2 linked regions of the Rhinolophus ferrumequinum genome follow. The protein of the gene in region 1 purifies or fractionates together with the protein of each later gene. This does not show direct contact. Links are inferred from orthologs where the notes say so. Each region holds a gene or a part of one and is shown in the gene's direction. Other genes may lie near its edges.

Region 1 (15,727 bases):
ATCTGGTAGGAGATGATAGATGATAGATACAGACAGACAGACAGACACACGTAGATTTCGCTCTGTGTAACAGAGAACTGAACTCATAGGGGCATAAATAGCCTAGAAGTTTATTTCTCTCTCGCATGAAAACCTGATAGAGCAGCTCTGCTCTGCGAGGCCACTAGCACCCCAGACTGCTTTCATCCTTAAAGAACCGCCCTTTTCCACATGGTCCAGGATGGCTTTCCCATCACATCACATTCTAGCAAGTAGGAATGGGGACAAGGGGAAGGTTCTCTCCACTGCTTTAAGGATATGACCTGAATGTTGAATGCATTGCTTTTGATTCCATCCTGACCATAATTTGGTCACAGGACCACAACCTAACTGCAAGGGAAGTTGGGAAATTCATTCTGGGTGGCTGCATGCTCTGCTAAGAATCAGGAATTCCTTTCTGGTTAGAAAAAGGGGAGAAGAGAAAGAACACGGAGGACCTCCTAACAAACGCTGTCACAGGCTACCTCACACTGAATGATGGTTAGCATAGACGAGTGGGCCTAGGGGAACTTTATCTGTTTACTTTATATGTTGCTCTGTTCAACTCTTGTACCATGGTCATATATTTATTTTTCTTTTGTAAAAAAGAATTAAATACTAAAAATGCTATTGATCAATGGTGCATACATGATTCTTGTGTGTAAGACTATGAGACTGTAGGGTCCTTGTTCAGCATTCATTTAGCTGCTACCTATTGGCTGACTGTTTAGTGCCAATTACAGTTACTGCACTAGATGCCAAGGATGCAGGAGTGAAGAAGACAGACATAGCCCCACCCCCACCCCAGATAATGAACAAATAAATATGCAACATAATTTAAATAGTGACAGACTTGCAAAGTCAAATACCGTAGGGTCAGGGATGGAAAGTGGGGGAGTGGTGGTTGGAGACATGGGGGAATGGGTTTGATAATATCAGGGAAGGCAGTTCTGAGAAGGTAACATTTGAAAAAATACCTAAATGGAGTGAGAGAATGAGTCAGGGAAAGAGGATTTGTGGCGGAAGGACCAGCAAGTGCAACACCATGAGATGGTTTGAGTAATAGCAAAAGGGCAGTGACCCCGCAGGAGAGGCAGTAAGGGTGGAACTTCCAGGAGATGGATTGGAGGGGTGCTCAGGGTCCTCATCATGGGGGGCCTTGAACTAGGTGTTATATGAAGCCATTTATGTCATTATGGCCAAAAGGTGTTTTTCCTAATCATTTGTGATCATTTTCAAAATGTGGAAAAACATTCCATTGATATAACGGGATGCAGTGAAATGAGATGTTTTTTCCAGCTTTGCCTGTCATGAGCTGTGGGACCTGAGGACATTTATTTAATTAGTTGGCCTCTCAGTTTCTTCACTTGTAAGGGTGGAGAAAAGTTTACTCTGTATCCTATTCTGTTCTAAGAACTATATAAGTAGTCATTTCACCCTAGGAGACGGGTACCGTTTTTATCCCCATTGGACAGATGAGAAAATTGAGGCAGAGAAGTGAAGCAAGATCCCATACCACTGGTAAATGGCAGAGCCAGGATTTGACCCAAGTACCCAGGCACCTGAGCTAGCCTGCATATGTATTCACCCCACACTGTTCCAAATTCCTGCTGGCTCTGCAGCAACCTCACAGGCTGCTTGGGAGAATGCAGTGAAGAAAGATTTGGGACAGCAATTTGCAAGAATATGTATTAATATTCTTATAATAGTCTTCTCTCCTTAAAAATTTTTAAAGAATTTCTAAACCCTAATGAAATCATTGATTCAACCCATGAGCATTAGTGGATGAAACCATTAGATCAGAGGTTTATGGGGGACCTCAGAATGGAGGGAAGGAGAGTGGAGCCCCCCAGACCCACTGGCCCCTATCAGTATCGGTAAAAGGGGGGCACCTGGACAGCTAGCCCCTCCTGATGTGATCCAGTGGGAAGAACTCTGAAGCATTACTGCCTCCCCGCCCGCCATTAATCTGAACCTATTCACATTTTAAAGCTAATTTATGGGAAATACAATAGAAAGAGAAATAAGTTAACACTACTATGAGGAAGTAAACAGAAAAGTCTAGAACATGAGATATTCTGCAAGACAGCTAACCTAGTCCTTTCAGCATGTCAATTGTCTGTATAAACAGGAGGGAGAGGATATTCTAGGTTAAATACATGTAAAAAACACTATAAGCAAATGTAATGGGTGGACCTTGTTTAGACCCTGAATCTTACAAACCAACCCTAAATGGCCGTGTGGAGACTGTTGGGGACTGGGGGGTGTAGAACACGGACTGTGTTTAAGATGGCACAGGGAGTAAGGTGAATTTTGTTAGGTGTCATAGTGGAAAGCGTCCATATTTTTTTAATGAAGCGTGGCAGATAAAGAGACTTCAAGTTCAGATTTGTTCTTGAAACTTCATCAAAGAGGAAACGAAACAAAACAAAAAGCTTAGAAGAGCCAAGTGAGGTAAAATCTTGAAAATTGTTTAATCTGAGTGATAGGTGCCTAGCGATTCATTTTACTATCCTGTCTGCTTTTGCATCCGTTTGAGATTTTTTATTTTAAAAAAACTTCTAGCCCCTACTCATCATGTAGCCACCTTACAAAGAAAAGGGGGTGGGGGGAGAAAAAAAGTCACTGTATGAAATTGCATGAACCTCAAAACAAGAAGAAAAACATTTAAAAACTCATGAATCACTGCATGGCCCATTCGATTTCAGGGTAATGATGTAATTAGAGGAGATCAGTCATTAGGGAAGATTAATTTTAAGACATCTGCTGCTGTCGGTGGCAGATGGCAGAAGAGTAGAACATTCAGAGCCAGACATCCTGGCTTTAAATCCATCTCTGCTACTTATCGGTGATTTTAGGCAAGCGACTTAAACTTCCTGTCCTCACTCTTCTCATCTGTAAAATGGGGTCTGAGTTCTGTCGATCTCATAGGGGCTACTGGGAAGATGAAGTGAGCTCAAGCATGAATAGCACTTAAAACAGTGCTTGGATCCTAGACAGCATTTACCGCGTGTGAACTATTATCGGTTTCAGTTTTGTAGTGGTCAGTGCTTCCTGGGGGCTCAAATAATGAGTTGGGTAGAATGAAGATATTCTAATAGCCAGTTTTTAGTATTCAGTTTCGCTTACCATTTCTCCAGTATTTTTCTCCCATCCATTCCCCTTCATTCAAATGAAAACGCTCTGCTCTGGAGTCTCAGAATGAGTCTCTCCGTGGTTTAAGATGGTTTACAACGGGTCCAGGTCATTGCGGTCGGCTGTGATTGGCTGAGCAAGAGGAAGAGGGGCAGTGACTGCCAACGATGCTGCCGGGGTATCTACTGAGGGTGGGGACCATAAACGCAGAGCAAAACGCCTTTGCAGTCTGAGAGGCACTCCAGCTGCTGCTTGCTCACTTGCTTCTTGGGGGAGGGGGTGTCCTGGGGCTCCCTGTGGTGGCCTCCAGGCATTTGACATTCTCCAGCCATCACTCGCAGGGGCAGGCCTTCCCTTCAGTCAGAGTCGTGGTGTTTTGCTTTGTGCCTTATTTCATTGGTTATGGGTTGGGTTTGTTTTGTTGTTGGTTTTGTTGGCTCTGCATGAGAAATATTCTATAAAGTTCTACATTTTGCTCCAGGGCCCTGTTGAACCCAACCTGAAATCAGTAGAACGTGTGTGGTCCTGTCCTGTTCGGTCACTGCACATTGGGTACTTTTTTGAAGGTACCTCTTGTGGGCCTAATGAATATTGGAAAACACATTGTAAAATGCAGGCATCTGAACTTGAGTCATGTTAGAAAAAGAAAAAGAAAAAAAGCCAACCTCAAGAGGTCATATACTGTATGATTCCATTTATATAATGTTTTCAAAATGCCATCTTAGAGCTGGAGCACAGAGCAGTGATTGCCAGGGGTTCGGGCTGTTTGGGGGAACGAGGTTGGTGTGTCTGTGAGGAGACAGCACAAGGGAGATCTTTGTGGTGATGGAGTAGTTCTCTGTCTCGATGGTAGTGGTGGTTGCTACATGTGTGATAAAATGACACTGAGTTACACACTCACACACACACACACACACACACACACACACACACACACACGGCACCAGTGTCCATTTCTTGGTTTCAATATTGTACTGTAGTTATGTAAGATGTAATCACTGGGGGTAAATTGAGTGAAGGGTACCCAAGACCTCTCTGTACTATTTTTTTTATAACTTCTTAAGAATCTATAATGAAACCAAAATAAAAAGTTTTTTTTAAAAAAAACCCCGTGGACAGCAAAACTGGATTAGCGAAAACAAAGGGCCCTTGTTTTACATGCTATCAGGAATGAGGGAAGCATAATAAAACCCTCCCGTCGACCATTTTTATTCTGCACCACGTTCCCACAAATGAGAATGTATCAACCCTGAGTGAGACGGTTTGGTCTGGGGCTAAGATTCTCGGCCCCGGGCTGGTGGTCCTTTCTGACATGACTCCCTAGAACATATTCCTCTTGGCACAACGATGGTGCTAAGGAGTAGACTGCCCAGGAGACATATTAAAATCATTGTTTATGTCTTCCTAAGAGAGTTTGGGGTAAAAGCTTTCAGATCAGGGAAGAGAGGCCGTACAGGGGGTGAGGACGGGACACCGCCATTGGGACTATAAATGGGATCAGCCACCCTGAGAGGCAATTTGCAAATGTCCTTTACAATTTTAAAGGTAGACCGAGCAGTTTTCCTTTGGGGTATCATTCCTAGAGACCTATATGCATGTGTACCCAAAAAAGCCTGTCCCAGGCAGTGTGGCACTTAATGACAAAACTTGGGAAACCTGGGGACTAGCCGAAAGAAGTATGGTATAGACATACCTGGGAAGCCTATGCAAGCAGTGAAAAAGAAAAAGCTAGATCTCTGTGTCATGACATGGAAAGAACATCAAGATACTGTATTATTAGAGTGAAAAAAATCCTAGAACAGGATGTACAGATCCAGGACATTTATAAAAATACATTCATATAGCACATTTATAAAATACTGTGTGTCTTTCACGATGTAGGTGGATGTTTCTGTGTGTTTATGACTAGAAAAAAGGTCTTCAGAACTATTTATCCTGTTAGTCATTGTGGGTACAGCTGGTGGGAGATATAGCCAAAGATAACTGCAGTTTTATCTAAAATTTAAAAATTTATTTACAAACATTTTGAGGCATTACCTGGGTGGTTAAAATTATATGTTAAGAAAGAAAAGGTAATGTAGTTATTTTCTCAGTTCTAGGAGAATCTGTGCGGCTCTATAGCCCAGCTATCTGGGGTCACCCACTGGTGAATGCCGCCTGGTGGTGAACAGCAAATCCCACTCTCAAATGTCAGCTTCATGAGAGCAGGAAACTTGTCTGTCCGATTCGACACTGTATCCCCAGTGCCTGGAACAGTCCATGACCTTAAAAAAAAAAAAATTGACATATATTAGTGAGCAAGAACAGCCTTTCTTTTTTGGTATTCGATATGCATAGTCAGCGATTCTAAATGATTGGCAGCCTGACTCAGTGAAGGAAGCAGTGAATGAATTTGGTGTCGACTGTGTCCCTACTTTATCTGCCTTCTTCTTCGCTTTTGGAGAAGAGGCTGAAAGCACCTTGTTCGTCACCTGTGTGTCCCAGCCCTGATCCCATAATTTCTATTAAGTGACACCTTCCCCATTGAAAGGGAGGTGGGGTTGGGGAATGGAGATGTGGACGGGAGGAGGGGCTTGTGACCACACCAGTGTAGCCTGTGGGGTCCTTGCCAATGGATGGTAAAGTCGGCCATGTGACAGCAGTCACTGAATTTCACTGGCTGCGCCTATAGTTTATTCCTGCTCGTACTTTCACACTGAACTCCAAGGTTGTGATGCGCATGTATCGGAATGCGGGTCACAGTCTTCTAAGACTGTGCTACTCAAGCATAATCTGTGGCCCTGCACTGCCTTCCAAGGTTCAGTTCCAGTGGGACAGAGCAGCTCTTCTCCAGCAGTTCATCCTGGGCCTCTCATTGGTCCCCATTGACTCCTGACCACCACCCCTGAGCCAATCACTGTAGACCGAGCGATGGGAGATGTTAATTGCCAGGCTCAGGGCCTGTTACTAGTAGGGTCAGCCTCACTCAAGCCACATGGACTGAGAGGCAGTTCCCCCAAAGAAAGAAAGGATGCTGTTGCCACAAGACCTAACGGGCCAAAATGCCAGGCACCCACTGCCCCCGCCACGCTCCTTCTCAAGCCATGATTTCTCCTCTATGCTGTGGCTGTAGACATTTCTCGTTTCTCCTCCTGCTTTCTTAGCTCAAAGCAAGGCCATCATTTTGCTGTATATACATGTATCAAATCATCTCATTGTACATCTTAAACTTATACAATATGTCCACTATATCTCAATAAAGCTGGAAAAAAAATAAACCTACAGGGAGGGCGGAAAAAAGCAGGACTGCTAAAGCCATGACAGCCAGGCAGAGCTTAATAGTGTCATAACCATAATTAACAAACACATTGTGTCATTTGCACAGGAGCTTTTGGACCATTTCTCCTTTCTGGGATGGCCTGGGGACAGTGACATCCGACATCCATGTACTTGGATGTATGTAGGCCGATGACCTACATACATACAGTGCTAGCGCTGGGAAGAATAGTAAACCAGGGGGTCTCAAACTCGTGCCTGGAGGGGCCAGGCAGGAATGTAAACGAGTGCCCCGTCTGGGTGGTGACAATGGCAGTGACCCACACTTAGCGGGCACTCGGTAAATATTGCATTTATTCATACAGCACATTCATTCATTATACCACAAATATTTATTAAACAGCTCTCAGGGGTCAGGCCCTGCAGATTTTGAGAATGTAATGGTGGATAAAACAGACAAAATCCCTGCCATCAGGGAGCTTACAATCTGGTCAGGAAGACAAGTGGATATTAAATAACATACAAACATCTATAAAAATTGTTATAGTGACTGGTGCACAAAAGGGTGAGTTATGGCCCTGTGGAAGCTGCTGAAGGGGAAGGAGCCCTACTCAGGAAGGGCCTGGGAAATCATGCTAGAGCTGAGACCTCTGAAGGGTGAGCAGGAGGGAATGGTGTCCCAGGCAGAGGGAACAGCATGTGCAAGGACCTCACGACAAGAGGGAGCGTGCAGGAAGAGCAGGAAGGCCAGTGTGCTAGAATGAGACGTTGAGTGAAGGGAAGCCAGATCAAGGCTGTGTTCAGAAGTCTTTGCTTCATTCTAAGAATAACAGAAAGCAAGTGGAGGAGGTCATGAGTAAGGATGAAGTGAGAGGGGCAGGTTTGTTTATGTTGTCCGAAGTCCCTCAGGCCACTGTGCAGAGAACAAACCAGAGGGAGGACAGCATGGCCCCAGGGAGACCTAGACGCAGGCGGAAGTGGTTGTCCAGGACAGAGAGGGTGGTGGCTTGGCCCTGGGCAATGGCCATGGAAATGGAGAACAGTTGGTTCCATGGATGTTTGAGGAGGTGAACTTGATGACACCTCGTGATGGATTGGATACGAGAGCTGAAGAAGAGGGAGGAGGGGGACAGTCCTGGGCTTTTGCTGTAAGCAACGGCACCCCTGAGACGGGGGAGCCCGGGCAGAGCTCGTTTGCACTTAGCAGATGTATTTAGAACTGAAATCAAATGAGGGTGGTGGAGGCAGCCAGAAACGTCCAGGTTTGGGCCACAGCTGCTGTCTATCCAGAAGCCTGTGATTGCTGTCAGCAGGTTTGGGTTTCTAAGCCCTGGAAAGATGCTGGGAGTTGGCCTTCTTTAGAGTCCGGTTGGCTGACTGGCCATCTGTCCCCTCCATCCAGCAGGCAGGGCCACTGTTCTCAGCCAAGGTAGCCAGGGAGCTCAGGGGGGTGTGGAAAGGTGAGCCTCCCACCCGCCTGGGACCCTCCATCTGCTTTTGATCCTTTCCAGCCTTTGAAGTTGCCCCCACCCCCCACCTTCCAGCTGTCATCTCTCCGGCTCCTCTGCAGCCTCACGCTCCCCCAATGCTCCTCAGTCCCCCGGGACAGGGGTGGTGACAAGGGTAACAAATGGTGCAAGCCGCTGGCAGCAGCCGACCAAGGAGAAGGCCAGAGGGCGGGGCTTCCGAATGCCTCTTTCTTCCCTCTCCTCTTGGCCTGGTTCTGAAGCAGTGGGGGTATCAGGGGTTTTGCAACAGGGCAACACAGGGGGGAAAATTGTGTCCTAAATGAATCCCATGCCTCTGCTTCCTTCAGGAAAGAGAAGCTAAGTCTTTCTCCTCCCCCCAGACTCTATTAGACTGTCTGATTTCTCTCTTCCCTCCCCTGCAAAGAGGATAAGCTGGTCTCCTATTTCAGGTAATTGTGACGAGGGGAGAAAAGGGAGAACAGGAAGGAAGACTCTCCCCAAATTGCAAGAGAATTCAACTCTGCCCGTCAGGCCACAATAGGAACCAGTGGTTGCCCCGACGACGATCCTCATGACAATTCCCAGTGTCTACCTGGAATGTATGTTTTAAGCTTTTGTCTGTGTGAATGCAAATAATGTCAGTATTTGTTGACAATTAAAAACCCTTTGTTGAGCACCCACTCACTCACACCTTCTCAGACTTAATCCGCAGGATAACCTGCCAGGAAGGGCACTATATTATTTCTCCATCCTTATGGATGAGGGTCGGAGAAGTTATATAACTTGCCCAAGGTCATACAGCTGGTAAGACACGTAGCTGGGATTTGAGCCCCTGTAGCAGATGACAGAGCCAGTGCTCTGACTGAGTGGGAGCTGGATAGACCCTGGGTTCAGATTCTGACCCAGTTTGACTTGCAAGCTGTGGTTAAGACCTCAGACCCTGGAGCCAGACCACCTGGCTGGGAATCCTGGCTCCAGCACTAACTACCAGGTCACTCTGTGAACCTCAGTCTCCTCATCTCTACCCACTTCATAGGATTAAATAAACTGATTTGATGTATGCAAAGAGCTCTTGGCCCTAGAGTAAATGCTCTTTAAGTGTTAGCTATTTTTATTTCTATTATCTGTAAAGCAAGCACTATAATCAGGTCCAGGTTAAGACCTTCAAAGACCTCAAAACACCAAAGAGATCAGCCTCCCTCCATTACTTCCCCATGTAATTCAGTAATACAACAATCTGACCCATAACATACAAACACAAAACTCACCCTGAAGTGCTGAAATTTTAAAAGCTTCTTTTTAGATCTTCATGGCTGAATAGGATATGTTCACTAAATACGAATGATTCACATTTTCTTGGTGCCTATGCTTTGCTCAGACCTAAATCTGTGTTTAATATTCCGGTTGGGAAATAGAGGGAGGATAATTATATCTCCCAGGGTGGTTGAGAGAATTAAAGGAGATAATATAAAAGTGATCAGGAAAATTGCCTGGCATGTAATAGGTGCTTAGGAAATGAGAGCTATAATTAGACTTTTTTTGGAAGCGTTTTTCTCACTCTGTTCATATTGCTATACTTTTGGTTTGCATCTGCAAGATAGCAGTGGCCCATAAGCGATAGCTGGCAGCCGGAAAGAACAAATTGTCTGGTTCTTAAATTAAGGGCCTGCTTAATTCGTGAGGACTAACATTTCTATTGCTTCTTCTTTGTTAGCAGTATTTATTTGCCATGCAAATTAATTGGGGAAGGACAAACTAATTGTTATATCTTCGCAGGTTGATTCTTTCATCATTGCTTTATGTTCCTCTAAATCTCCATAATGGTTTTTATTTTCAAGTCTATTTGAAATTATTTCTGCTTTCTTTTATTTAATATTTGCTTCTTGTGGATTTTTCCCAATATTTAGCTTTGAGTCTTTGTATGTCTTTATATTTTAAAAGGATCTCTTGTAATAATCAAGTGTTTAGTTTTTTTAGTCTAGTCTTATAATCTTTGTCTTTTAATGGGAGTATTTATTCTGTTTACATTTAATGTAATTATTGATCAATTTGCATTTAAATCTGTCATTTTATCTTTTTCTGTTTGTTCCATCTCTTCTAAGTTTCTTTTTTCTTCTTTCTTGCTTTCTTTTGGATTAATCAAGTATTTTTATTATTCCATATTCTCCTCTATTAGCTTGTTAGTAGCCATTTATTATTATTATTTAAGTAGTTACCTTAAGATTACAGTATGCATCCTTGATAAATCTTAAAGTTTACTATAAATTAGTACTTTTACCACTTCCAGGAACATAAAATGGTCTTAGAACATGTTTACTTCATTTATCCCCTTACCATGCATGTATTTACCCTTTTATGTTGCTCTCCATTCCTTGCTGAGTTTTCAATCTTCTAGAACATTCTTTTGTAATTTACGTCTACTGGTGGCAAATAATCCTAATTTTGGTTTGTTTCATTCTGTCATCATTTTTAAAGGATTTTTTTTTTTTTTTGCTGGCCTAAAATTCTACATTGGCAGATGAAATTCCATTGTTTTCTGATATTCATCATTTCTGTTGAGAAGTCTTATTACTCCTTCTGTAAAGATATCTTGTGTTTCATTTCCCCTCTGGGCTGCTTTTAAGATTAATATGTTCTTACACATGTGCAGTTTGACTATGACATATATATATATATGTATGTGTGTATGTGTGTATATATATATGTATATGTATGTGTGTGTGTGTGTGTATATATATATACTCCCAGGAGTGTTTTTCTCTGTATTTATCCTGCTTGCAAACCACAGAACTTTTTTATTCCTTTGGCTTGATATCTTTCATCAGTCTTGGAAATTTATCTGTCAGTTTCCCATTAAATATTGTTTCTGACTTGTTTTCTCTCTCCTCTCCTTGTGTGGCCCCTATAACATGTATGTTAGACCTTTTCTCCATGTCCCATGTGGTTTATGCTTTTTTAAAAACCTTGTTTCCAACCTTCCTTTTGAGATTTGTCTACTGACTTATCTTCCAGTTCATTAATCTTTTCTTCTGCTATGTCCAATCTGTGGTTCAACGGCTGTATTGAGTTCTGAATTTCAGTTATTGTATTTTCAGTTTTAGAATTTCCATGAGATTTTTTTTTAAAGATTCAGGTTCTCTAGTAGAATCATTCTATACCTTAAATCTATTTTCTTGATCATATTATCAAAGTTGTTGGGGAGTCCATGTTTGATAATCCCAATATCTGAATCTTATTTGGGTTTGGTTTTTTTTGTCTTGGTTTTTGATCATTTGGTCTTGTCTCCTTGCATGCACAGTAATTCTCTTTTTTTAATTAAATGCTAAGCATTGTGTATAAAAAATTATGGGGACTCTGGAATATGACATCTCCCCCCAAAAGAAAAGTTACTTTTCTTCTGGCAGGTGGTAATAATAGAGGCAAATCATTTTTATCCAATAAGGGATTAACATGACTCAAGGCAGGATCTATTTGGTTTGCCCTTATTCCAAGGGAGTCACCCTTCAGGGATCTCAGTTAAAAGCCTGGTGTGTTTACCAAGGCCTCTCATCCTGAAGGGCCATGAACTCCAGTATTTTCCTCCCTAGTACTGGGAGATTACCAAAAGCTCTCTTTCATTTCCTGCCTTCTTAGCTACCCCTTTCTGCTTGACTTCTCTGCCTCTCACTCCACCCAGCTTAGGTATCAGCAAATGCCTCAAAGGTAATGACTGTCAACAATATTAGGCTCACTTCTCTGTGGTCTCATATCTCTAGGATCTTTGCTTGGGCTCTAGCTGCTTTAGTAGCCCTGAACTCCAATTTTTGTCTCCCCAGCCCAATGAGACTGGAAAACTCTAATCTGTTACTTTTCCCCTCTGTGCTTATAAATTGGCAAACGTCTTGCAAGGAAAAGTGGTAGAGGTCAGAGTTAACTCTGTCCATTTCTCATCTCTCTGGGATCTTGAGCCCTCAATCCCTGCCTTGGTTGCCCACCGATGCCTTAAAACAATGTTTTGTAGCTTTTATTTTTTATTGTGATAGTGAGATTGAACCAAAAATACAAACTATCTCATCATAGCTGGGAGGTAAATTCAGTTAGAGAGTTTAATACACATTAGGGGAAATGGCTTATTTTAATTTTCTCCTATATTGGAGAAAAGTGCAACTTTAAGCCATATTAAATGGAAGACTTCAGATGAATTGAAGACTTAAATATGAAAGGTAAAATTCCAAATCAATAGCTTAAAATGTAGGTAAACCTTAATATTCCAGGGTTAGGGGGAAAAAAATACATTTAGAAAAAGAAGAATTATTGGACAAATATGTAATAATTTTTTATGGCACACGACACCATAAAATAAAAATTAAAAAAAAACAGACAAATGAAAGATTAAGAAAAGAAATTTACAGCCTCTAAAGCCAGCAGTGAGCCAATACCTAAACGCTACAAGGCACTCCAGCAAATCAACAAGAAAAGAAAATCCAGTAGAAAAATGGGCAAGGATAATAAATATGAATAGACAGTTCCCAGAAACTTATATGCCCCATAATTATGTGAATATATGCTCAAACTCACTAGTAATCATAGAAGTACAAATGAAAACAAATATGAGATACCATTTTCTACCCGTTGGTTGGACAAAAATTAGAAAGCTGGACAATGCCAAGTGTTAGCAAGAATTTATGAAACGGGAATGCTTATGCACTTCTGGTGGCAATCTATATTAGCACTGGAATTATGGAGAACAGTCTGTTACTACTTGGTCAAGTCCAGTTCACATGCCACAGAAATTCTCCTCAAATATATATATATTCATTTTAAGAATATATGTGTGTATCTATAGACACATATGTAGATACACATCAATGTATGTTTTATTTAGATTAAGATGTTTATTGCAGCACTGTTTCTAGTGGCAGAGAGATGAAGGCTTCTTAGGTCCTCATCACTAAAGCAATGCATAAATGCGATGGAGTGGTTGGTGCACAGCATGGAATTGTAGCCACAAGCTGGATAACCATCCAGCAATATGTATCCATTTTAAAAATAGTGCAACGTGAAAAAAAGTAATAAACACAATGCGATCTCACGTACGACACTATTCGTATTAATGAAAACACGTCACACATAAAACAACATGGCATCATTTATAAGGAGACAGATTTAATACATTAGAGTCACTGTCTTCTTAGAATGGGGTAGATAATGAGAAATTTTTAAAAATCTTGTTGAAAGAAGCTGATCACTCAGTTCCAGATTTCCTCCCTCCCTCCCTCCCTCACTCACTCCCCAGTCCCTCTCTTCCTCCATTCCGTCCTTCCTCCCATCCTCCACCAGGTGTTAATCAGATGACAGAGTGGACAGGTCTTCTGTGTCAGGTGCTGTGAGGGAAGTGTAGATGATTTCCATGTTGCTCGGCCTCCCAGGACCTTAGGCAAGATGTGAAAACACCAAAAGTGGTCGCAGCAATCCTCTGTCCCAGAGTTAAAACTCACAAACACATTCCTGATCTGCTGTAATGTCAACAAATGCTGTTTGGATGTGCTAAGAGCTCTTGAGAATGACAGCAACACTCAGGAAAATAAATAAGCTATGTGACTCAGTGTCACATTGCTGTTTCTTTCCTCATCAGGCTTTTTCTTATGATATGTATGCCATGGCTCTCAAATGCAAAGGCCTATAGGGTCAGGAGGGAATATAAATGGAAAAAGACAACCAAATGTGATATACTAGGGAGGGGTGGGGACTGAGGCAAACTGAACCCATCTGCCTTGACTGACTTGATCCGTCACTGCCAGCTCCTGCTAATTGTTGTCATGCAGAAATGTGACAGTAATCTTCCATTTTCAAGAGAAGCTAAAAAATCTAGATTTTTTTAAATGTGAAATTGCTTCATTTTAAAATATTGGCCATGACTTCAAGTATTTTAAAACCCTGAAGAGGGGGGAAGATAATTCATTTTGTTTTTTACTGGATTTGGTCATTTAGCTTACAATTGGCTGCTAACAGATACCCATATGCATGGCATCTGTATATATAGAGACCAGTGCTATTTTTGGCATCATTCTTTATTTTTTAAACCTTGAATTATTTGTACATACCCAAAAGGATGAAGGGAATGAGTTTGGATAAAATGCAAACTTCTGGCACCCACCACCAGACAACAGGTTCAAGGTCTATTTGCTGAGTTCCATACAGTATATATGCGTTGATGTGTTAAAAGAAGGAGACGCCGAGACCTCTCTCCTGGAGTACCTGTGGCATTTGGGGGACAAGAAAACAGGCACACAGCAGGCATGTATACCTGGGAACATTTAGGAACCCAATATGTATCAGCTCCTGTAAAGATATACACAGTAGAAGCTGATTTGTGTGGAATTCTCTCATCAGATTTAAAAGTATATATGAAGTACTTCCTATGAGTAAATCCTGGGATAAGTGATTTCTTTCTTTTTAAAAAATTATTAAGTATTTCAGGTACACAAGAATGTATAGTAACCATACCATAGTGATATGCCCACCATCCTGCTTGCAAACTAAAACTGGGATTGGCAAACATTTTCTGCCAGATAGTAAGTATTTTCAGCTTTGTGGGTATCTAGCACCCTAATTCAGAGGTTGCAGTGTAAAAGTAGCCATGGACAACAGAGTAAACCAATGAGCAGGACTGTATGCCAAGAAAACATTACTTGTGGACACTGAAATTTGAATTTTACGTAATTTTCACATGTCATGAAATGTTAACCTTATTTTGATTCTTTCCCCAGCCATTTAAAAATGCGAAAGCCATTCTGAGCTCACGGGGCACACAAAAACAGGCTGGATTGGGATGGGCCACAGTTTCTGTCAACCCCTGAACTGAAATGTTCCACAGTTGAAGCCCCCCGGGTACCATTGCCCAAACTGCGTCCCCTTACTCTTCCCAGAGTTAGCCATTCTCCTGAAATCAGTGTGTGTCATTCCTACACATACTATGATCTTTTTATTGCATGTGTCTATATTCCTAAACAGTATATAATATTGATTTGTGTATTTTTCACTTCGCAGAAATGGTATCAGACTTTGGGTACCCTTCTGCCTCTTTGCTCCGTACTTCGTTTGGCAATCTGTCCATCATGCTGTGTACAACTCCAGCTCCATCTTTTTCACGGCTGTATTGTATTCCATTACGTGAGCATACTGCCTCCGTTTATTCATTCCTGTGGTAATGAATGGGCGTTTAGTTCGCTGCCTTCTAAGTCCTTTCTTTACACGTATCATCTCTTTTCACCTTCACCGTGACGTTGTCAGGGAGGTACTTTGATAATCCTCATTGTCCAGATGGGAACACTTTTGACTTAGAGCCGTCTGGTAACTTGTTCACGGTAGTGTGTAGTGACAGTGGAGTTTGAATCCACAACCTTTTCCTGGTGTAATCTGCGTTTATAACCGTGTCGCCATCAATCGATACATTGTGTTTTATTAACACAATGGTAACAGATCCTGGCCTTGGATACTGATGCCAGGCAACACACTTGGATACTGATGCCAGCCCTCTCTGAGGGCAACTTGAATCAGTGTCAAACATGGCTGGTTGTCGTTCAGTCCTTTGCACACCGCCACGTGTGATATTGTGCGCAATAACCAGAAACTTCGTTTCCTAACCACAGCGGGTAGGAATTTCGGAGGAATAAGTACTGACCTAGTACAAGAGGTGGAAAAGTCTTCAATAAAAAATGAGACTGACCCAGGAGACTTGTCCCTACTTTTCCCTCCCCCTTCCATAACATTTTATCAAAATCCTAATTCAGCAGCCAGTGTTTTCTTTCTTGGGAGGGACCACAGTGATGGGCTGTGAGTTTTGCTGCCCACAGGGGCTTAAATATCAA
Region 2 (15,919 bases), on another chromosome or scaffold:
GCACTTACAGTTTATGTGCTATAATCTGGCCAGCAAGAGAATACTGGATCTTCATGGGAAAAGTTGGGGGGAGGGGACCTATTAATTACAATATATTGCAGGAAAAAAATAACAAAATTAGTTCCTTAGGTGAGTTTCACTTTATCTCTCTTATAAATTATAGCTGGGGAAAAAACGAATTCAAGTACATATACCAAGTTCTGTTAAGTGATTAAGAGGAGTAATTTCCTCTAAAAGGGAAAAGACACAGCAATTGTCAATAATTTTTGACTAAATGCCGAATCTTCAGGGTCCTGTAATCTGACTTTACAACATTCAGGAACTGAGAGTTTTTCATGCACTTCAAAGGAGAAATGATAAATGAACGAATGTGGAAAAGAGTCTATGCATAGGAAATAATGTTTTGCTAGATTTCTTTTAAAGGAGGGGGGTAATGTGAGGGAACTGTAAACTCTAACTCATGCTGAGTGAGCATGGAAAGCTTTTTGAAATGCAGGGACTCATTTTGGGTGGCCTGAACTGACTCTACCTTCTGTTGTCAGTGGGTGAACCATTAATGAATTTTCCTGCATAGCACTTCATTATCTGGTTTGCAGTCCACAGTCACTGGCTTGGAGGATTACAAAAAAATACTGTTATTAGTTTCAAAGAAATGTTAGCGCTGAGAGGCAAACGCTGTTGCTAGAGCCTCAGGGCTTCCTGGGAAGAGGCTGACTGCTGAGTTTCCTGATAATGAATGACCTAGTCGGATCGCTGTGTCAGGATTGCGTATGCAGGCATCAGGGTGATGAATTGTGCTTCCCAAAATATATTTCCAGGTCATTATTTGTTCTAATTGAAAAGGAATATTCCACAGTAAGTCTCTTTAGCTTGGACTGGCATTGCATCATCTTTATATGCCGTTTCCCATGAGTTAAGGTTTTCCCCAGCTGACGCTGCTAGCTGGACATCTTGAAATGATTTCAGGCTCTCCTGGCTTTTGTGCAAACAGATAAAGTAGACCCCAGTGCATTCTGTGATTACCTGGCTCTTACATTACAGCAGTTATTTGCCTTGAGAATTCTGGAGGTTTCAACACAGCATTTGCATTATCTTATGTGCTGTTCTTAGTGGAAAAGTGGGTCTACATGCTCTAGAACTTAGATCTTAGGCTATTTTGGCTTTTGAAACATAAGGGAAAAATAAAATCTAGGGTATCTTGTTTTTTGTCATCGTTAATATTTCAGCTCTCCCAACGTTTATAGACTATCATCATTAGAACCACGTTTAAACTAAAAGCCCATTTTCTTAACATACATTAAACATTTATTTCAACATTGCATTTTTTTCCCATATTTCAGAGCCAGCAAAGATAAAATGATCCCAATTATGGAATTGGGTACCTAAACTGTGAGCACTGATGGTAAACACATATGACACACCCCCAAGAACTCCCAGAAATATTTGGGGGAAGTTTTCAAGAGCCTGAGGTTGTTTTTTTTTTTAATTGGGTGTGATTGGCATATAACATTATGTCAGTTTCGGGTGTATAGCATGATGATTTGATATTTGTATATATTGCAAAATGATAACCCGGATAAGTCTAGTTACCATCCATCACCACACATAATTACAAATTCTTTTTCTTGTGATGAGAACTCTTAAGATCCACTCTTTTAGCAACTTTCAAATAAGCAATACAGGATTGTTTACGGTCACCATCATACTGTACATCACATGCCCAGGACTGTTCTCTCATTTGTAAAACAGTGAATTTACAGGCCTCTTTGGAGTATTAAATGAGATAATACATATAAAGAGCCTAGTACAGAAAGCACTCATTAAATGTTAGCTGCTGTTATCACTCACTTTGAGAGCACCATCTCTATTGACCGACATAGCAGTGTGCTTGCCCGGTGCTCGATTAATCTGCCTGATGGATTTGACTGCCCCTCGTAATGATGACTCTTTGTATTTGTAGTGTAACTTACATAATTTTTTCTTTGAAACTTGAACGGTAGTATTAGTTTAGGTAATATTTAACAAATAATGTTTATTAGTTAATACTGATTGCTTTAGCAATTAAACCCCCAAACATCAGTGGCTTAATACAATATGTATCTTGCTCATGTAACAGTTTAATGTGGGTGTCCCTATTCTTTGTTTGGTTTTCATCCATATGGTTGATTAAAAGACGTAGGCTCTTTCCATTTTGTACTGCCAGCCCCTAGAGTACAGCATCCTCTGCTTCCAGCTGGTGGAAGAGGAAGCATCAAAGAATTACCACTCATTTCTTAAAAACTGAACAGAAGTCACATATTCCATCACATTATGCTGGTGAGAACATTATTCTGGATGTGGGGAGGGAGGAGGCTTTCACTGACAAATGCTCACTAAGGAAGGGACACACTTTTTTGGTTACTAGTTGCCTCTGCTACAACACTTATTCTAAGTCATAGATAATACAGTTGAGGCTCAGAGGGGAGGGCACTTGCCTAGAATCACATAGCTGACAAGTGGCAACATTGGGACTAGATCTCTCCTCATGACTCTTTTTCATGGTCTCTTTCCTACATTTTGCTCTGCCTCCTACCTATGCAACAGGCTGTGTAGTCTAAGGGGATTTCCAAAATTTTTAATGGAGCCAAGAGTCTTATCATTTGGAAGACTGCTGATTCCAAACCATAGTAGGAGCACTGGGTATATGAGTTCTAAGACATAGCCTCAGTTCTGTGGTCACAATTAGGCCCTATTTATTTTTGAAAACACTGTGTGCCAAGAATTACAACACCTTCTGTATTAGTCTGCTGGGCAGCTGTAACAAGGAACCACAAATTGGATGGCTTAAACAACAACTTATTTCCTGAGTTCTTTTTTTTTTTTCCTTTGACAGAAAAATGTACATTTATATTTCCTTAGTTCTTGAGGCTAGAAGTCCAAGATCAAAGTATTGGCAGGGTTGGTTCTTCTGAGAAACTGTTCCAGACCTAGCTTCTTGTGGTTTCTTGGCCTTGATGTTCCTTGGCTTATAGAAGTATTATCTCAACTCCGTCTTCATCCTCGCATGGCATGCTCCCCGTGTGCACATCTGTGTACAAATTTCCCCTTCTGATAAGGGCATCAGTCATATTGGATTAGGGGTCCGCACTACTCCCATATAACCTCATCCTAACTTAGTTACATCTGCAAAGGGATGCAATAGGAAATTCTTTCTAAATAGTCACTTTCTGAGGTACTGGGGGTTAAGACTTCTCCAAATGAATTTTGGGGGTTATACTTCAACCCATAACACTTGTCAACCCCAAGAAAGAAGGTTATCTACCAAGAAGGTCTTCTGGTGGCTATCTGGGCTCAAATTTAAAAGCAGAGCCTAGCAACCATTTCTAAACAGGGGCCTCTCACACAAACTGCACTTCAGGTGAGTAGAGCCTCCAGTCAAACTGGAGTGGACATTCAGTATGAGCAAGAAATAAACCTTTGTTTTTTAAGCTACTGAGTGATCAGGTGGCTTGTTACACATGTTGACCCTGAGAAGGAAAATATTACCAAGAAAGGCTCCTGGTGGCTAACTGGGCTCAAAAATTAAAACAAAACAGAGCATAGCAGCTGTTGCTAAACAGGCCTCTCATGCAAACCGCACTTCAGGGAGAAGCCGGCACTGAACTGCCTGCCTGCACTGTGGTCCTGCCATCTGAGCCAGCCCTTGTAAAGGAGTTCCTGGAAGTGTGTTTCAACGAACAGGACTGAGGCTTTTCCTGTCAAATCGGAGCTGTGCAGCTGTGTCACCATCAGCATCTTCACCAACCAATCAGAGTGGCTCCACTCTGACCAATCAGGACAGTGCTGTTTGGACCAATAAAACTGTGAGGATTTGGACTCCTCATTTACATAACGTCAGAACAATCAGGGACCAGTTGCAGGGACTTGTCTCTATATCTCAGCTCCCCTCTAGCTCGGGGAGCACATTTTCCCTTTCCACTGAAGACTGTTTCCCTAGCTGGAGTTGAAACACCAAAGACATCTTGCCACACCAGAGTGGAGTGGACTGAAGCAGATGGAGTGGACCAGAGCATGGCAGAGCCTACCTGAGTGGACTGGACTGGAGTGTCTTGACTGAGGGCCACCTCTGTGGAACAGAATGTGCTGTTCCAAAGCCATTCTGTATCATAATTGAGCTGTAACACTATTGAGCTGTCGCATACCTGTGCTGTTCTCACAGCTGTGCTGTATCACAATTGAGCTATTTGCACTGAATAGTTTTCCTTCTTCACTATACCCCAAATTGGGGATTCCTGTTGGCATTGAATTGGCATCAATGACCATCAGTTGACACACTCCATTACCTTTGCAGCTTTCAATAAGCTAGTGACTTCCAGGTTTCCATAATAAATAATGTACCCCAAATGGGAACAAGTATAAAGCAAAAAGGAAGGAATAGTAGACAGCATAATGTAGTGTATGAGACAAAGGATTCTTTGAGGGACACCTCTGTACACACAGATCTTTGGTCTTTAGACAGTAAGGTGTCAGCCAACTTCTCTCTCAGCAGGAAATAAACTAGTGATAAAATGTGTACAACTTATTTGTGTGCCCTTGTATTAGGATATTGACTGCTTTGAGGCAGAAACCTTAGCTAGACTCATATTTCACATAACTGATTATTGATCTTATAGCCATGGAACAGGAGACAACTCCCCTCACCCTTTCTTTTCTCCAATTCTGTAAGTCAATTTCTCCACTGGCTTCCGATTTTGCAGCTTTAACACTGGGGTATCTAGGAGTAGTTTTCTACTCAGACAATATGCCTGTAACTCAAAACCAAACATCCTGGTATGCTATTATGGCCAAGGAAGAGTGTCAGATTATTTGCTGGTAAGTTATGTATGGGAATCAGCTGCATTGATGTGACTCATAGAAAGGACATTCAGAGATACAGGCATACCTTGGAGATATTGTGGGTTTGGTTCCACACCACCGCAATAAAGCGGATATTGCAATAAGTGAGTCACACAATTTTTTTGGTTTCCCAGTGCGTATAAAGTTATGGTTACACTATACTGTAGTCTATTAAACATGCAATAACATGTCTAAGAAAATAATGTACATATCTTAATGAAAAATAATGTCCAACTGAGAACTTTGATGGAATTTTGAAGTTTTATCTTTTTGGATGTCAGACTTACTAATTTAATTAAGCAGATATTGTTTAAAGAGGAAAAAAACACAAAAAATAAAGATACTTTATTGCTCAAAAAAGGCTAACCATTATCTAAGTCTTCTGTGAGTTTAATCTTTTTACTGGTCAACAGGCGTGCCTCAATGTTGATGGCTGCTGACTGATATGTGTGGCTGTGGCAATCTCTAAAAAGAAGACAACAATGTGGTGCCCTTTCTACCATATCTGCAGTTACTTCCTCTACCGACGTCTTGAACCCTTAAAAGCCATTCACGAGGGTCGGAATCAACTTCTTCCAAACTCCTGTTAATGTTGATAGTTGACGTCTTCCTGTGAAATCACAAATGTTTTTAATGGCATCTAGCATGGTGAATTCCTTCCAGGTTTTTAATTTACAGATCCATCAGAGGAATCACCATCTATGGCATCAATAGCCTTATGAAACGCAATTCTTAAATAAGACCGTAGCAAATATAATCATAAAGAAAAGTCTGAAATATTACAAGAATTACCAAAATTTGACACAGAGACATGAAGTGAGAAAATGCTGTTGGAAAAATGGCACCGATTGACTTGTTTGGTGCACGGTTGTCACAAACCTTTAATGTACAAAAAGCAGTATCTGTGAAATGCAATAAAGCACAATAAAACAAGGTATGCCTGTACTCAGTGAGGATGTTTTAAACTCTGAAGATGGGAAATTCTATGTCTATAGTAAACTACTTAAAAATGGCATCCTATTTCTCAGAGGCTTATACTCAGGTATAAGATACAAACCTCAGAGTGTAGGCATTTTTCATTTTTACAGTACTAAAGGAAAAACATTGCTCATTTAATGTGGTAGATGCTTTCATATGGATTATTTTACTAAATCCTCACAAAAATCCTGTGAGATAAATGGTATTATACTCATTTTTATAGATAAGGAAACTAAACTTAGAAACCGGCATAGAACTCTATAACTCTTTTCCCACTGTACACACTACTTGAGTACTTACAAATTATGCCTTAATTTATTTATAATTTTTGTTTTGGAAACTGTGTGCCACTGAATTTCTCACTTGCTTAACTTAAGGTTGATCTCTGTACACTAAACAGGAACTGACACATTATCAGATTACTTGATTGATTTGACATTTGTTTTGGCAAAAATGTACAGCAGCTCAAGATTGAAACCCAGGTTTTGCAATATCACTTTTCTTTGTTTCATCCCCCTCCCCAGGTTAATTCACAAAGGCAGCAGTTTCCAAATGCCTTCTTGCAAAGCTATATTTTGAAATAGACAAATATTGATCACTGATGAAGAAACCAGGCGATAAACCTTTGCAAGTCAAAGAAAAGACAAAATAAAAAACAAATTGCAGAAGATGTTTGCAAATACACTGCAACCAATAAAGTTTTTGAGCTCTTCCCCGATGTTCTATCAAGTTTTTACTCAAACAAGTAAACATTTTATTGGGCCAGGCATAGCACCATTGAGATGAATGAGATTCCATTCAACTCCTATTCTCCAGGAGTTGCCATAATGAATGAAGGCAAAAAGGATTTCCCAATACTGTGGTAAATGCTATAGTCAGGGTACAAGTACAATGAGAGGTAAGCAGAGAGAAAAATCTTCCTGGAGGAGGCTGACTTAAGACCACTAGTGAGTGCACACTTGGCCTGGTTCATCGCTGGGCTGTGCGGTGTCTCAGAGATGCCAGGTCCTCCTCCCTGGGCCCTAATGACTTTCTGGACCTATTCCACCAATTATTGTTCCCACCCCTTCTCGGTTCCCTCTGAAGCTTCTCTTCCTTTGCCTGCCCTTTTAAATTGGTGTTTCCTAGGTACAGTTGTAACTCACAGGATTTTATCCAAACCTCTCTCCTGCAGAACATCACTTTTCTTTTCCTACACACACACACACACACACACACACACACACACACAGTGGTACCTCAGTTTTCCAACGCAATCCGTTCCGGAAGACCATTCGAGTTCTGAAACATTTGAAAACCGAGGCGCAGTTTCCCCATAGAAAGTAATGCAAAATGGATTAATCTGTTCCAGACCTTTAAAATCAACACCTAAAACTGTAAATTGAGCATGAATTTTACTATCTAATGATACCACAGATCCATAAAATTTACGGCGTTCGTAAACCAAAATGTTCGTCAATGGAGACGTTCAAAAACCGAGGTGCCACTGGGGTGACAATGATATGCACACATATGTTAAGAGGTGTTATCTATGCTGAAGTATAGTTTGCTATAATCAGAAGTCTCTGGACACTGAAGATAACCAGGTAACCACCTTGAGCACCTCTTGTAATTGCAGAAGTCAAATGTGACTTATATTCATCTTTTGTTATCGTTATGTATTATTACAATTTAGTTTTTTCCCTTTCTTAAAATGTGTATACATTTTTTATTGTACACATATAATCGAAACAAAACGACTTCTCACGAATCCACCATGCACTTTAAAACCGAATCCACCATCCACTTTAAAACCGTAACATTACCGGTACTGTGGGTTCCCTTCCACAGGTATATCGTGAAATTTCCCCATTCCCTTGCTTTTCTTTAGTTTTACAACGGCCTTGTTGCTCCACTTGGCAAGAGGGAGGTAAATGGAGGCAGCCAGGCCGCCGCTCACGCGCTGGTGCCCACAAAAATAACAACGCCCTCCTCGCCACCACGGCCACCAGCCAGGACAGCAAAACCATCAAGACGGCAGCGGCCCCGCCCCCCTGATCTGCCGGCGGCCCTGGGGGGCGGGGCGGGAGGCTGCTCAGGCGCGTGGGCGGGCGGCGCGGGCCGGTGACGTCATCCGGCAGCGCGGGCCCGGTGCACGTGACTGCGGCGCGGAGGAGAAGGTGGTGGCGGTGGGAGTGTGGGGATTCCCGGCAGCATGAGTTGTTGCGGGCTCTTGCGAAGGGCTGTGGCATCGCGTTCCTGCAGCGCTCTGGTGGCCTCTGCCGTGAGCCCGCGCCGGCTGAGCACCAGTCGGACGAGCCGAGCTTTCGCCAAGGAGCTCTTCCTGGGCAAAATCGAGAAGGTAACGCCAAGTCTGGGCCCACTCGGGCTCTCTGCCGCCTGCTTTTTGCCCCGATCAGGAAACACTGGGATCAAGCTTTTCCCGTGTCCGCACACCTGAGGGGCAAGGCGTGCTAACACTCCAGGTTCCTGAGTCCCATTAGATCATGTGCATTTTTCCAGGGAAAGGGAAGAGTCTTTCCAGGGCGGGGGGCCCCGAGAACTCATGGTTTTGACAAGTGTTCCATTTTGTTCTTGTCCAGTCAGTTTGGGAAACACTAGGCCAGGCGATGCAACCCTCAACTCAGCGGTCTGGCCCCCGAATGTGTGGGGCTTCCTCTCTGAATCCTAAACACAGCTCGGACCGTGCCACTCTGTCAGCTTCCAGCAGACCCGAGGCGTCCACAGCTGAGTCCGAGCACCTCACTCTGCCATTCAGGTTCCTCTGCAGTCTGGCTCCAAGGTGCCCTCACCCCATCCCTTCCACGGTGGCACCACCCAGTAGTAACCCAGATCTTACGCAATAGTAATAACAGCTTGGTTATTAAGCATTCAACGTCCTCTTATAGTAGGAAGACTTGGATTTGACCTCGGTTCTGTGACTGAGCCTCAGTTCTTTTAGCCTTAGAAAAGGAGCTAGTGATGTATTCTGTCTCACAGATGTGTTGTAAAGCCCCAGTGAAATATATAGGGTGTGGAAATGCTTTTTAGCCTGTAAGGTACTGTGCAGATGCAGAAGTCAGCAGAATAGGTAGTAAATGCTGGCTTCAACACTTACTAGTGTATGTGCCTAGTACTTACCCCCTCCTAAAGGTGCTTTGTAAACCAAAGGAAAAAACTTGCATAAAGTGCTTTGAGCTTGGCTGAAATGTTGGCTGATAGTATATCATTTAAGGACTTATTCCCTGGTTTTCCTTTGGAACATTCCTCTAAGGTTGCCAAGCATTACAGATGCAGAAGCAGAGACTCAGACTAACAGTGGTTTGCTCTGGTAGGAAGTATACAAACTCTGTCTTTAAGGTTTAGGAAACCATTTTCCCCCAGCCTGAGGCTGTGGTGCTCTGTCCTGGGATCTCATGCCCGCCTCAGCACAGTGAAGAAAGAAGACAAGTCATTCATGCTTCTCTTTTTCCAAACTTTTGGCACTCCCTCCCCCATTGTCACTCTGAGCTGTCAGCTTTGCTTCCTATTTCACTGAGAAAATACATGCAGTCAGATGACAACATCCACCATAACACTTAGCCGCTCCTTCCTATGCTCTGTGCCGTGTGGGCTGCATTCTCTTATTGTAGATGAACTGTCTACTTAAAGAAAAGGCCAAGCGCGTCACTGTACCTCATGTCTTCTCACCTACTCAGGGCTTTGACCCAGTAATTCTGTCCTTTCTCATCTACATCATCAGTTGTTCCTTCTCTGCTGCATCTTGAACTCACACCATTCAGGCTTTTGTCCTGAACAATCCACTTATGCTCATGAAAGTCAGTAGTGACCTTTGTGTCATCACATGTAGAGATCTGTTCTCTGTCCTCATCTTACTTGACCCATCATTGGCGTCTAACACAGTTTATCACTCTGGCTTCTAAGAAACTATTCTCTCCTAGTTTTTCCATCTGCTTTACTGGCTGATCCTTTTAACTTTTTCACTTTTTCTTTCTTGGCTCCTTGACCTCTAAACATTGGCCAACATTTTCAACTAGCCCAGTTGGAGCTGGAGTTTTTTAGGGCTCAGTCTGTAGACTTCTACAACCCCACATTGGATGATCTAATTTAGTATTGTGGCTTTAAATACCATCAATATGCGGATGTCTCAAATTTATTTCTCCAGCTCAGATTTCTCCCCTGAACTCCAGACTCTTTTTATATCTACCTTTCTAACAAAAGCTTCACTTAGGTGTGAATAAGCATTTCAAATTTAGCATATCCAAAACTGAGTTCCTGGTCTCCCTACCCAACCCCATTCCTTCTACCAGCCTTCTTAATCATAAATGGTTAATTTACTGTTCAACTTGTTCAGGCCAAATACCTGGAGTTACTTTTGATACCTCTTAGTCTCATAATCCACAGCTAATCTGACAGCACGTCTTGTTTTCTCTGCCTTACATTTAGAATCAGATTCTTATATTTAGAATCTGACTGCTTTTAAGCACCTGCACCACTATTGCCCTGGTTTAGGTCAGCATCATCTCTCACAGCATTATTGGGGTTTGAGCAGGAACGTGGCATCTGAGATGCCTAGAATTTCAGAACAGAAAGAGACCTTCAAGATCATCTAGACCAGTAGTTGTCAAACTGCCTTCAGGTGGACCCTCGTTATTCATGGGAGTGTCCCTGGGGCTACTGCTGGGACCAGTGGGAAGCCGAGTAGGAGACATTTGGGTGATCTTTCTCCCCCTCTGCAGTCTCAACCAGAGCAGCTTGACTTTTATTTGTTCTACGTATTTGGTGTCTGCACTAGATTTAACTAAAAAATATGTTTTACTACTTTAAAAAATTTGGAAGCGCAGATGGGAATTAAACCCAGCACCCATGAGGCACCCCGTTTAGTTTATGAACACTGATAGAAGAGATTTGTTCTTCCATGCATGGAGATCTCGCTCCCTGCAGCAGTTAGCCTTTGGTTGTGCTTGAGGGCCATCTAGTTCCCAGGCTGTTCTCTTTTCTTTTCTGGAGTGCTCACTGGTACCAGGATAATCTTATAATCGTCCTCTAACATAGCTCATTGCACAAGGCCTGAGTGAACCCATGGGCTTGTGAAAGCCAGAGCAGTGGGTTGAGCATCTGTATTTCAGCTAAGGAGCTGGCTGTGTTCTGAGAGGCTTCAGAGTGATTAGTCTTAGCATATTTTCCTCCTAGACAGTCTAGGACAGGGTCAGAAATGGCATGGAGGCAGGAATTCCTTTTAAGTCAGCTATCACTTTTGGATAGGGAACCACCTATAAGCCTTTAGTCATGGGGCCTGAGAGGAGAAAACAGACTTGGGAGTATGTTACTAGAGTGGACAGTCTTTGGTGACTGATTAGAAGTTCAAGGGCTGGAGAAGGAAGATTGAGGACTCCTTTGCTTTGAACACCTTGTCTGGAGACATTTGATGAGAGGCGCCATTAGGAAAGACAGGGTCTGGCAACTCATGATCTGGGACACCATTTTTCAGCAGCTGTGAGTCCAAATCCAAATACTCATGTCATGCTGGCAGGGCTGTCTGGAGCCCCAAAACCTTGAGGGACTAAGGATACAGTGGGATGATTTTAGGCAATATACAGTGATGGCCCAGTGGGGAATCCTGGGCCAGTCAGAAATATTGGCCACTCATTGGATTGAGACAGAGATTTGAAGCTAATTTGTTTTCCATGGTGTGAAGTGGAGGTAAGAGCAAGTATTTGTCACAAATACAGTTACTTTATGTTCCAGGACGTATTACCTCTTTTGAGCCTCACAGCTACCTTCTGAGGTATCTGTAACAGAAGGGAAACTGACACACAAGTCACACATCTAAGAAGTGGCAGCGTCAGGGCTGAATTCAGGTTGATCTGGGTCAACAGCTGGGCCTCCTCCAGTGACCTTCTTACTTCGTATGTTTAGCACAAGTAGCAGATGTCATCTAGCAGGGAGGACAGAGGCTGGAATATGCAGCTGGCTGGGAACCTGGCAAGATGTCAGACCTTGTAAACACAGTATGTTCCCGTCAGCTGCAGCATCTTTGAATTTACAAAATAACAAATGTAAAACTTTACATTTTAGTAATGAGCTTTCACACCAGTTATCTTCCATGATTCTGACAACAACCTTGAGTAAATATTACCTGCATGTTACTGGTGAGAAAATGGAGATGTGGAGAGATAAAGAGATTTGGCCACACAATAAGTAAGCTGCAAATCAAGAAACAGAGCTCAGGGCTTTTAAATGTTTAGTCCAAGTCTCTTTGTTTCATGGGAAAATCATCATGATTTATTGATAAGGAAAGCTGATCAAAGTCGGGAATAAACCTGCTTGAGATACAGGGAGGGAGGCTGTATCTAGGTGGTGGAGTCTAACATACAATTCTTATATCTTAAATACCTTCTGGAAGTTGCTTTCTAATTCCTTCAATGAGGAATGCCCTGCCTACCAGATATGGACTCTAAGAAATCTGTCTCCCTTTTCACTGATATCACCACTATAGCAAGTTCCTAAAAATTAATTTTTATTAAGTGTTTATCATTTTTAGAAAGAAGTTTTCCCATTTCCAGAAGTTAGCCAAGATGAACTTAATGAAATCAATCAATTTGTGGGACCCGTAGAAAAATTCTTTACTGAAGAGGGTATGTATGATTTTCTTTATCATTACCATATCCATTATAAGGGCAATGCTTTGATATTTACGTTAGAAGCAGTAGACACAGGGGAAGCTCTCTTGAGTGTCATTAAACATGGGGAAATAGTATCTATTGATAATACGAGGTGTGATCACGAAATATGGTGAATGTTTAAATGTAAAAAATTTATTGCAGTAAAAGACACATTGCCATTAATGCCATTCAAAATACTCCCCCTCACTTTGAACACACTTATCCCATTGTTCTTGCCACTTTCTGAAGCAGTTCTGGAAGTCCTCTTTCGTGAGTGTCTTTAGTTGTGCTGTCGTGGCTGCCTTGATGTCTTGAATCGATTCAAATTTTTACCTTTCATGGCAATTTTGATTTTGGAGACGAGTCAGAAGTCGCACGGTGCCAGATCTGGTGAATAAGGTGGATGAGGACACATTGTAATGTTTTATTTGACAGAAATTGCTGTACCAGAAGTGATGTATGACATGGAGCCTTTTCATTGTGATCACAAAATATGGGGCCAAGTGCCATCCAGTGGAAAGGCAGGGATCTTCAATATGGGAAGTGGCGCCTTGAACCTTACTTAGTAACAGTGTGTGACAAGTTTTAACTTGTTCGGTGCAGTCAGTCGGGTGTAAGCTAAGGTTGAGAGAAGGTGTGTTTTAAAGTGTTCCGTAAATCATGGATCATGAACAACGCATTAACATGAAATGGGCAAACGGTTTCATCCTCCATCATGACAATGTTCTGTGTCACACATCGCTTCTGGTGAAGTGTCTTTCAAATATTTTATGCATTAGAGATATTTGGTTTTGTTATTGAGTTGTAAGAAGTCTTTTTATATTCTAGATACAAGATGTTTATAAAAATTTTTCTCATAGTCACTTGTTTCACTTTTTCATTTTATTAAGTGTCTTTTAAAGAGCAAAAGTTTTAAATGTTAAGTAATTTTTTTCTTTCATAGTTCATAATTTTTGTATATGAGAAATCTGCTAAATCAAGGTTGTGATGATTTTTTGTCTATATTTTCTCTTAGATTTATATTTTTAACTCTAAATTTTTAAATTTATAATCTATTCCCAGTTAATTTTGTTTATGATGTGAGGTTAAGTTTGAGGATAATTTCTTTGCATGTAACTATCCAATTGTTCCACAACACTTATGTAAAAATTGTCCACTTCCTATTTAATTCACTTGGTACCTTTGCCAGAAATCAATTGACCAGAGGATTCTGGGAAGATAGCAGAATAAAGCGCACCAGAAATCTGTCTTCCCACCTAGACAGCAATTGCACTGGCAGAATCTGTCTGATGTAACTGTTTTGGAGATCTGGAATCTTTTCGAGGTTTCCAACGCCCAGGAGAAGGCTTGGACAGTAAATTGTGCTTTTATTTTGATAGATTTAAGCTCTGAGCACACTAGCAGCTACCCATTCCTTTCCTCAGCCCCAAAGCAGGCAGCTGTGAATTTATTTTTGGAGCAGCTTGCACATAGCTTGTGGGAGCCATATTGGACGAAAGGACTCTGCCCATAAAATATTAGGGACCTGTGTTTTGATTGCTGCTTCTGATAACAGAGGTGCAAAGAGGCAGAGGCTTTGCACCTACTCTGCATTGTCCCAAGCCCATCCCCCTCTGGCTGAAATGACTTCCAGGGAATTTAAAAGACTGCCCCCCCAGCCATCTTCATTTTTCTTTTCCCTGTTTTGTGAACCAGATTGAAGACAAGGACATTCAAAAGCAACCACATATATGGGGGGAATTAGAAAGTCGTCATGCATGCTCAGGGAAAGGTGCAGGCTCAGAGAAGGCCAGGGAATTTAAATTTATACCTTTGGCTGATCCTCGGCACAGACTTAGCCCACAACAGTTAAAAACAGCAACAACAAAAAGCAACAACACCAAAATCACAAAACAACAAAAACAAAACCAATATGTGGGACTACATGAAACCAAATGCTTCTGCACAGCAGAGAAACAATTGACAAAATGAAATGGCAACTTACAGAATGGGAGAAAATATTTGCAAACCATATATCAGATAAGGGGTTAATATCCAAAACATACAGAGAACTCATGCAACTCAATAACAACAACAACAACAACAACAGCAAATGATTAAAATATAGAGGAACTAAATAGACATTTTTCCAAAGAAGATATCCAAACGGCTAACGGGAACAATGAAAAGATGCTCAACATCATGAATCATCAAGGAAATGCAAATTAAAACCAAAGTGAGATATTACCTCACTCTGTTAGAATGCATATTATCATCAAGAAGACAAAACATAACAAGTGATGAGAAAAGAGAACCCTCATACACTGTTGGTGTGAATGTAAATTGATGCAGTCACTATGGAAAACGGGTTTCTCAAAAAATTAAAAATAGAACTACTGTAAGATCCACTACTGCCTGTATACCCAAAGGAAATGAAAACAGGATATTGAAGAGATATATGTAGTTCATGTTTATTGCAGCATTATTCATAATAGCCAAGACATGGAAATAACCTAAGTGCCTGTCAACAGAAAGTGCCTTTCCAACAGATGAATGGAAAATATGTACACACACACGCGCGCGCGCACACACACACACACACACACACAGAGTGGAATATTATTAAGACACAAGAAAGAAGGAATTTCTGCTGTTTGTAACAACATAGAGGGACCTTGAGGATCTTATGTTAAATGAGATAAGTGAGAGAGAGAAAGACACTATGATGTCACTTATACAAGGTCTGACAGGTTCACAAACTCATTCTAAAAAAAGTGCTACATACCTCATTGCTGAATATCACTATGGTCACCTCTGCGGTACTCCCCTTGGGAAGCTATGCACCAACGCCAGCACCTACTCCACCCTTCAAAGCAATTTCGGAATTCTTTTTCTGGAATTGCCATCAGAGCTGTTGTTGTATTACCCTTGATGTCCTGAATGTCATCAAAATATTTGCCTTTCAATATGTCCTTTATCTTCAGGTAAAGAAGTCATTGGGGGCCAGATCAGGTGAGTAGGGAGGGTGTTCAATACAGTTATTTGTTTACTGGCTAAAAACTCCATCACAGACAGTGCTGTGTGAGCTGGTGCATTGTCGTGATGCAAGAACCATGAATTGTTGGCGAGAAGTTCAGGTTGTTTTCATCTAACTTTTTCACGCAGCCTTTTCAGCACTTCCAAATAGTAAACTCGGTTAACTGTTTGTCCAGTTGGTACAAATTCATAATAAATAATCCCTCTGATAATAAAAAAATTTAGCAACATCATTGTGACTCTCATTTGGACTGATGGAACGTCTTTGGTCATGGAGAATTGGTCGACATCCATTGTGCACTTTGACGCTTTGTTTCAGGGTTGTATTCGTACACCCATGTTTCATCATTAGTGATAACACAGCCCAAAACATCATCTTGCATCTCCAAAAGGTTTTGGCAAACTTT

The links.
Region 2: the proteins of EYA2 (region 1) and ACAD9 purify together in Homo sapiens (affinity purification with mass spectrometry; 3 studies listed by BioGRID and IntAct, with this or other methods). This does not show direct contact. The link is inferred for Rhinolophus ferrumequinum from reciprocal best matches to the Homo sapiens genes EYA2 and ACAD9.

The regions. Positions count from the first base shown.
Region 1 is NC_046306.1:11,462,119-11,477,845, reverse strand, and holds the start of EYA2 (eyes absent homolog 2), read left to right. Parts: upstream 1-8,457; 5' UTR 8,458-8,474; coding exon 8,475-8,476; intron 8,477-15,727. UniProt on the Homo sapiens protein: Functions both as protein phosphatase and as transcriptional coactivator for SIX1, and probably also for SIX2, SIX4 and SIX5.
Region 2 is NC_046285.1:212,158-228,076, reverse strand, and holds the start of ACAD9 (complex I assembly factor ACAD9, mitochondrial), read left to right. Parts: upstream 1-8,047; coding exon 8,048-8,194; intron 8,195-12,376; coding exon 12,377-12,470; intron 12,471-15,919. UniProt on the Homo sapiens protein: As part of the MCIA complex, primarily participates in the assembly of the mitochondrial complex I and therefore plays a role in oxidative phosphorylation.